Danio rerio: one gene and its partner. The protein of the gene in region 1 purifies or fractionates together with the protein of each later gene. This does not show direct contact. Links are inferred from orthologs where the notes say so. Each region holds a gene or a part of one and is shown in the gene's direction. Other genes may lie near its edges. The genes, in order: mtch2 and ociad1.

Region 1 (3,827 bases):
TAGGGTTGTTATACTGAAACAGTAAACATTTATTTTCATGCACAACACTTTGTGTTCGCTATGAAAGAAAAAAAACATTCAAATGCTTGTAATCATAACTCTAAAATGCGATATGCTCATTTAAATGTGCGCACAGGTTTCACTTTCTCTTCAGAGTGTGGCTCATGGCTGTTGTCACTGTGAGAGAAAAACACATACATGCAAATCAAACCTCCCGCACGGCTCTCAAATGATTGCTCTGTGCAACCAACTGAACGTTATTTACAACTTCATTACCTGTTATTCACAGCATATGCAGGTTATATTCACTGAAGTAGGCATCATTTGCATGCATCCGCGCATACTCAGCAGTGAACAGTGCGTCAGCTCTTGTGTGATTTCGTGACCGTGAATACATCGTTACATGAAGACAGAAATGACATTTTGGGTGAATTATAACTTATAAATACAGTATAGGACACTTTTAACTCCATTTGAAGGTGTCAATGTTGCTGTGAAGACTTGTTGGGTCGCCTTTTCTTCTCTCCTGACCTTGAAAATATAATTAGCTGAATCGTAGAAAAAGCTGAATTAGGATTGTGTGCAGGGTCGAATCGAGATTGTGATCTTTTTTCGATTAATCGTGCAGCCCTAGATAACATTGCTTTTGTTTGTTGAATATCTACTTCTTAGCAGTGAGACACTTTAATTTTTGATATACTGTACTTGGTAGTCTGGATTTGTGTGACCTTTAGTCATTGTGGAGTAAGATTTAACTATTGACAAAGTCAGCCAGTATATTCATAGTCGTGTACAGTATTTTATCCTTTTAGTTAGCTTTCTGTAAGCATAATCTGTGCCGGGTGTAGTGTTCAGACTGTTGCAATGTGACTTTCATGTTTATCTGGCTGGGCACAGTTGAGCAGAGGTTATTTATACTTGTTTTATCTGGCTCTAACCTTTTGTTATAACCCACAGAAGTGCCAGGAGGAAAAAATTGAGGTAAGAATACATCCATGAATATTCAATATAGGTTATAAATGTATCCTGCACATGCGTTTCCTTAATTTTTTTTTTAATTTTGTGTTTTATTTCTGGAGTCTGTTATACATTAATAATGTCAATCTCATCTTCTTGTCCTCTCAGGTGTTGGGAAGCAGTCTGAAATCAGACGAAGGGTCTCTGCAACAAGTAATAAATGAGGTAAAATAGCTTAAGCTTAGAGTTTAAGACTGGTCTTTGCACTTTTTGTCAATGAAGACTTGTTCACAGTCACGATTTAATGTGACAGACACAAGCAGCGTATATTTTATCAACATACTTTTGTGGTTGCAATGCTTCTTGAAGCCAGAATATTTTTGTGCATGTTTTGATGTTGTTTGTTTTAATTTTCCTGTTTATTTATGTCTTGTCAGACCACTAAAGAAATGATTGCTCGCTCATGTGCTACAGTTGTCACACACCCTTTTCATGGTAAATACAGTTATTAAATAAGTATGTTTTGCAATGGTGATGTATATCTCATTTTCTCTTAGTCTGAGAGTGTGTTTTTTCTTTTTATTCCAGTGATCACGCTCAGATGTATGGTCCAGTTTATTGGCAGAGAAGCCAAATACAGGTCAGTGGTTTAATTTTAATAGTTTTTTATTTTCTTTCATATTTATTAATGTTTGTTTTTGTTCTGTCCAGTGGTGTTTTTGACTCCATAGTTACCATATACAGAGAGGAGGGAATCCTGGGATTTTTTGCGTGAGTGCAAAATTACGACTTCTACTTGCTGCTTAAAAAAACTGATAATAATAGATCAGCATTCAATGACTCTGTGAAACATCTTCATTCTTGTCTTTAACTCCGTTTTTATGTGTCTGTAAACCAACAGTGGCCTCATTCCTCGTCTACTGGGAGACGTTCTTTCCCTGTGGATCTGCAACATGCTTGCTCACTTCATAAACACATACACTATAGATGAGTCGGTACGTAAACACACACGATCTCGTGCATCAACTACAAAGCATCTTGACCCTCGATTTGTACACCGTTATACAAGAACAGCTGCATATGTATCAATCATTATTGCATTCAGGGTTCCCACGTGTCATACAATTTCTGGAATGTCATGGAATTTCGAAAGGTCTTCTTCAGACATGGAAAATCAAATATATCTTTTTTTTTTTTTGACAAGGTTTTTGTTATCAATTACCAAAATGTAATTTGTCTATACCATATCTTATTTATACATTTGACCTATTGTTTTAATTAGTCTCCTTTTTAGCGTTTTTTTTTAACCTGAAAATACATGAAATACACTTGTCAAATTAAATTTTTTAAAACAGGCATGGACAGACAGTTTATATTAGATGCCATATTGGTCACTTTAGGTTGACTCATTTGTATTTATTGAGTAATGATGCACCACCAACATGTAATTATTGTCCAGCTGCTCTCACTATAAAACATTAAAATGTAATAGTTTAAGTACTATTAAACACATTTTTTATAATGAAATCACTGTTATGGGTGTTTTTAAAAAGTATCGCCAGGAAGAATTTAAAGTTATTTATCAAATATTGAATTAAAAAAAATTTTAAGCTTTAATATAAAGTTTTAGTGAATTTTATTTATCACTATTTGTATTTGTTTGTGTATCATTTCTTATTTAAATATGCAGTTGTAAAATATGACTAAAATAACCACACAGTGAGGCAATAAATAAAGAAATGAAGTGCAATTTTTTATTTTATATGTGTATTTATGTATATTTATAGATAGATAGATAGATAGATAGATAGATAGATAGATAGATAGATAGATAGATAGATAGATAGATGGATAGATAGATAGATAGATAGATAGATAGATAGATAGATAGATAGATAGCTAGCTAGCTAGCTAGCTAGCTAGCAGTCACTTAAATGCAGTCGCTAGTCTGTAGGCCATCCTGTTAACTAAGGCTAGAAATTTCAAGAGCTTAAGCCACAAAATGAACATTTTTTTTAGACTGTGTTGGGATACTCTTGTTATTTTAAATATATTTTCAAGATATATGTTTTCTGTTGTTGCTTTTATAATGGCTATTAAGTTAATGATAAACAATATTGAAGCTCAAACTTTTTAAATATATAATAATATTTTATACTGATCTGATCATGTCACTCTGCTTTTTTCAGACGAGTCATACAGGAGAGATCAAGAACTGCTCTCAGGCTGTGACTGGGGTGAGTCCTCTGATTTCATTTAGAAACTGAAAGTATCATTTCATTCAGAAACACTCTTCTTGTACAAAGTATGTAAATGACTTCTATTCGCAACTAAGTTTTGTTCTAAGTGAATTCTAAGTTGATAATTAATCAGGGTCATTGTGGCAATTATTTTACATCACTCACTGAAGATTGCTTTTTTCTCATAGTTTGGCTAAATATGCATTTAAACGTTTTTTGTTTTTTTTTTTGTGGAAACGAGCAAGCAGAAATCACCTGCACTCACTTTTCATTGTCTGGTTTTTGATGTTTAGTAGATTAGTTCCGACAAACGCAGACAAATCAAATAATTTTCATGAGCTCAGCGGACATTAGCACTTCAGATGCTGAGCTACTGACAGTAAACTATCATCCCCAAAGAAATATGTGGGCCCAGGCCATAAAAATTTTGTAAAAAAAAAAATATTATAATGCATTGTCAACCATATGTGGCTTTAGTTTTTTAAAAAGAGCTTAAAGAGGTTAAAGAGGATTTTGAATAATGAAGTTTAGTTTCCAGCCATCAAATGATATCATTGACAAATGTATATTCCTAGAAATTGCGTTGTTTTGTATACGCTACTAAGATGTCATATAGTCTAAAATTAAAAT
Region 2 (4,558 bases), on another chromosome or scaffold:
TCTGTGATCAGTTGTTCTGGAAAATATAAACAAAAGTTTCAATATAATGTTAACACACTTTCTATGCGAATTTATGTTTTGAGTTTTTACTGCAAATGTCACATGCATAACGCTGGAATTGCTCGTATTCTTTTTTAACATTTGGGTAAAAAAATAATAAAAAACTTTTATCCCATTGAACAAAAATCATTTTAGTTTTTTTATTTAGGAGCAGCAAACATGTCAGGCTAAATAATTTAAATTAATGATTGACTTCTGCTGTCTTCATTAGTTTCAAAAACACTTATTTTTTTCAACACATTTAAAAAACACATTCAAAAAAATCTTACATATACCTTAGGAATGGTATAACAGAAAATTTTAGAGGTTTTAAAACCTTGATTTTTCCAAACCACAGTAAACCTTGAAACCGATTCCACAGTATGGAAACAAAACTGTTTAATCTATTATCATAAGATTTTACAGCAGGCCAGCTTTTACACAATACTGACAAGAAATAAAAAGAAAAACTATCACTCAATACTTCTTATTGATTTGTTTCTGATTCTTCACTTAAAATTACATTTACACAAGTCTTTCAGATATTGTTTACTTGTGTTATTGCATGCACTGCATTTAAAATATATATACTAAATTTAAAAGCAAAAATTTCAAGAATGTAACACCTATGCTAAAACAATCCCATGCAGCAGTCTTCCCCCCTGAACACCACTACTGTTCACAAGAGAAACACTACTGTCTTGACACTCAAAGCGGTAAGCAGGAAGAGTTTACACTTCAAGATCAGGAGTGTGAACTCTTCTCTGCTCCCTGCTGAATAGGCAGCCCTCTCTCACCAAATGCTGAGACTCTCGAGTTGTTAACATAATTTATGACTCATGCACATGTTTGCATAGGACACCAATTAACATCAGTGAGCCTTTCATCTGACAGATTTTATTAGATGGACAAGATAAGTTTGTCTAAAATGAAACAAAGCCATGTCTGCAGATTAATAACTCAACACTAACGGCTGCTCTGGTTTTACTGCATTTGTTTACATTATCTCTTAAGGAAATAAAAGAGAAAGTAAACTAACAGATTGATAATCTGGTGGTTTCAAACAAGAGGAGAGTTGTTAATGAACACGACTTGGTGGCTTTAAAACCCAGCCTAGTTACATCCTGTAACTAAAACCGCAGATCTTTACTATATAACTTATTCCTCCACTAAACATGTAACTATAACTCTATTCTAAAGAGTTTTCATAACGTCACATGCTTGCAAAAACACGGCTTCTCTCTATTTTCTGACAGGTTAAATGCAGTTTTGGCTCGCAAAAACTTACACTATGGTTTGTGCATTTAAACTATTGTTTCGTGTGGCCTATTTAACTCACGAATGGCACTAATGGTGTCTAGAAAGGCTGTCTAAGTAGACTGCTAACTATGTTTCGTGACACAACCACTGACTGTACTCATCTTCGCTTCAAATGCAGGTCAACATAACATAACTTGTCTACCAACTGATAATATCCTGCGAGGGGAAGTGCATGTGATACGACAACCGATGAGAGTTAAACAATAAGTTTACTCTCCCTGCCCAACGTTAGACGTCGGATATTTGAGGTTAGTCAAACAGAATTCGGCCTTTCTTACCTTTTTTAGAGCAGCTGCGCTTTTCCTCGTCAGTTAGCCTGCTCACGCTAGCGCTGAAAACCCGATGTCTCTTCTCTCCAAAAGATGGCGAGACCAACTCCAGCTTTACAAAAACAACATTTTACATCCGTTGACCTCTAGTGTTCGATCTTGAAGCTGATCTTCTCGGTCTTTTTTCGCAAAACACCTAAAAACTCGACGAATGACAACGTGCCCACCTCCCTGTCCATCAGATTGGAGCAGCGCTGGCTAACGGCTTTGACAATCCGCTGTTCTGATAGGGGAGTTGCTGTGTCAAGATTGCGGATCCAAGCCCCGCCCCTCGCATTCACACGCTTAACAAACGGACCGTTGTATTGGCGGATTGGGACGTCAATCAACGCACACTACTGCTGGATAGGTTGAAGGACAAGACTCCCTCGGTTTGTCATACGCGTTCGTAAGCAGCATAGACCTGATAAAATCAATCTTTTTTTAGTTCAGACCCGTTTACTGTTCGTTGTTTATGAGATTAGTTATTCTCTGTAAAGTCGGTCGATAGAAGTAATTAAATGCTATTGACATACAAATGAAAGCGATTAATAACGTACTTATACTGACACTTTAGTGTCAGTTATGATTCTATTAAGTTAAATGTAGTTTCTCTGTTCAGACTAAAGTATTTATATTGTCTAAGATGAGCATAACCATTATTTATTGCTGTAAATGGGTTATTAGTTTTAGTCTTACACATTTTCACGTGTTTGGACGCTTTTTGCCCCTTAAATAAATAAACATGAAATCACATAAAATGTTATGAATATTGTTATTTTAAAATCGCACGTTATTATTAGATGTGTATTACAAATGTTATTACAAGTCTACGTGTCGTATGAAAACAGTTCACATACAAATTTACTTATACATGTAAAGAAACTAAAAATGTATATTTAAATAATTTATTAAATTAAGAATCCGGGGAATTAAAATTAGTTTTTAATCGAAGTCGAATTTACAGTAAAGCATTCCTCATTACATAACTGTTTATACAGTAAACAAAAGCTCACAAGGCAAAACAATAAATCGAAAGAGACTTTTAATCTGTACTTCCGGCCTAACGCCTGCACTTCCGGGTTGGTCTGTTTTCCTAATAAGAGTCGACTGGAGGTCATGTCATAAAATGTGTCGTTGAACTTGTTGACTGGTAATCCGCGTAATCCCATGGCTACTGCAAAAACGTTGTTTTTGTAATTGCATCTAGGATTGGTCATGTCGCAAGCATCGTCTGGATTCACTCCGGCTGCCCAAGTCCAGCATGGGTCCAGTAAGGTAACGTTAGGCAGTAAATTCACCTGGCAGTGTTTGTAAACTAGAACTAAACTGCTCTGTCTCACGCAGAAGTACTCCAAAAAGCAGAGTGTGTCACTTAATCATCAATAGGTGTTCTTTAATTACTCATAATTTTGCCTCCTCAGGGTGCTTTTAATTCTGCTTATATTCCCACTGAAGAAGAGAAGCGTGTCTTCAGGGAGTGCAACTCAGAAAGCTTCTGGTACAGATGTGAGTAATGCTATCCAGTCATTAAATGTTGATTTTCTGCATTACGTTTTAGCCTTTGCTAGATACAGATGAGCGTTTCTGATTATGTGTTTGTGCTTTCTCATTGTCTTCAGCTTTACCATTTTCTGCAATAGCAGTCGGAATCACTCAGGTACTGGTAGCAAAAGGTATGTTCAAGTCCTATATTTCAGGTTTTTACGTCTGTTTCTCGTTCCTATTGTCATGGAAAACCTGGAATTATCAGTGAAGATTTAAAACAAAGGAAAACCTTGGAAGTTTCCATATAGAGAATATGATTATATAAATATAAATTTGTTAATTTTCTTGTCGGCTTAGTCCCTTTATTAATCTGTGGTCGCCATAGCTGAATGAATGGCCAACTTATCCAGCACATGTTTTTTGCAGTGGATAGATACCGTCCAGCTGCAACCCATCACTAGGAAACATCTATACACTCTCATTCACACACATGCACTACACACAGTTTAGCTTATCCAATTTACCTATACCACATGTCTTTGGACTGGGGGAAACTGGAGCATCTGGAGGAAACCCACACAAACACACACAAACATGCAAAATCCACACAGAAATGCCAGCTGACCCAGCGACCTTCTTGCTGTGAGGCGACAGTGATATCCACTGTGCCATAGTGCAGCCGCCTATATAGAGAATATTGTATTTCTAAAAATTCTGAGATATGCTTCTTTTTTTTTTTCTTTCTTTTTTTTTTTTAATGCGCTTAAAGTGTTCGAAAATGTATATTGTTAGATATACCTTTTGGAAAGTATATTTAGTCTCTCTTAAAATAATAATAAAGTAAAAAAAACATTTCACCCTGTTATTAATAATTACTATAAAGGTTATTGTTAATTCAGGGAAATTTAAGGGGTAGTTCACCCCAAACTGGAAAATTGTCATTGTTTATTCTCTGGGGTTCTCTGGCTAAACTATCACAGTACCAGTTATTATTAGTTTATTAGTTTATTTATTTATATAGCACATTTTTACAACACAACGTTGCCCAAAGTGCTGCACACAATCAATACTAAAAATAAAATCTACATCACATACATAGCAATTAAAACATAAGGCAAACCCCTCAACATTAAAAAGGGTAAAATACTAAAGAACAAAGTATGCATCGTTTGGTAAAAGAACAATACAAAATTTCCAATCCTATTATTATTATTAAGTAGGAAATTGTTTATTTATTTATTGTAAACGTCTACTTTTACAATGATGCATTCAAAAAACTGCAGAAATGTTCTAACCAACAGGCCAATGTCATATACTGTACAGATACATTTCCTAATAAATAACCTTCTATAAATTAAAGCATTAACGTATGCTATATATTTTTTTCACAAGCTTTAGAGACG

Evidence for each region.
Region 2: the proteins of mtch2 (region 1) and ociad1 purify together in Homo sapiens (affinity purification with mass spectrometry; 3 studies listed by BioGRID and IntAct, with this or other methods). This does not show direct contact. The link is inferred for Danio rerio from reciprocal best matches to the Homo sapiens genes MTCH2 and OCIAD1.

What each region holds. Positions count from the first base shown.
Region 1 is NC_133182.1:38,885,985-38,889,811, forward strand, and holds part of mtch2 (mitochondrial carrier homolog 2), read left to right. Parts: intron 1-957; coding exon 958-981; intron 982-1,125; coding exon 1,126-1,182; intron 1,183-1,394; coding exon 1,395-1,452; intron 1,453-1,545; coding exon 1,546-1,597; intron 1,598-1,668; coding exon 1,669-1,728; intron 1,729-1,858; coding exon 1,859-1,952; intron 1,953-3,146; coding exon 3,147-3,194; intron 3,195-3,827. UniProt on the Homo sapiens protein: Protein insertase that mediates insertion of transmembrane proteins into the mitochondrial outer membrane. Catalyzes insertion of proteins with alpha-helical transmembrane regions, such as signal-anchored, tail-anchored and multi-pass membrane proteins.
Region 2 is NC_133195.1:25,852,601-25,857,158, reverse strand, and holds the start of ociad1 (OCIA domain-containing protein 1), read left to right. Parts: upstream 1-1,442; 5' UTR 1,443-1,477; intron 1,478-1,483; exon of another isoform or gene 1,484-1,607; intron 1,608-1,637; exon of another isoform or gene 1,638-1,905; intron 1,906-2,003; exon of another isoform or gene 2,004-2,076; intron 2,077-2,793; exon of another isoform or gene 2,794-2,877; 5' UTR 2,878-2,885; coding exon 2,886-2,945; intron 2,946-3,091; coding exon 3,092-3,176; intron 3,177-3,289; coding exon 3,290-3,343; intron 3,344-4,558. UniProt on the Homo sapiens protein: Maintains stem cell potency. Increases STAT3 phosphorylation and controls ERK phosphorylation. May act as a scaffold, increasing STAT3 recruitment onto endosomes. Involved in integrin-mediated cancer cell adhesion and colony formation in ovarian cancer.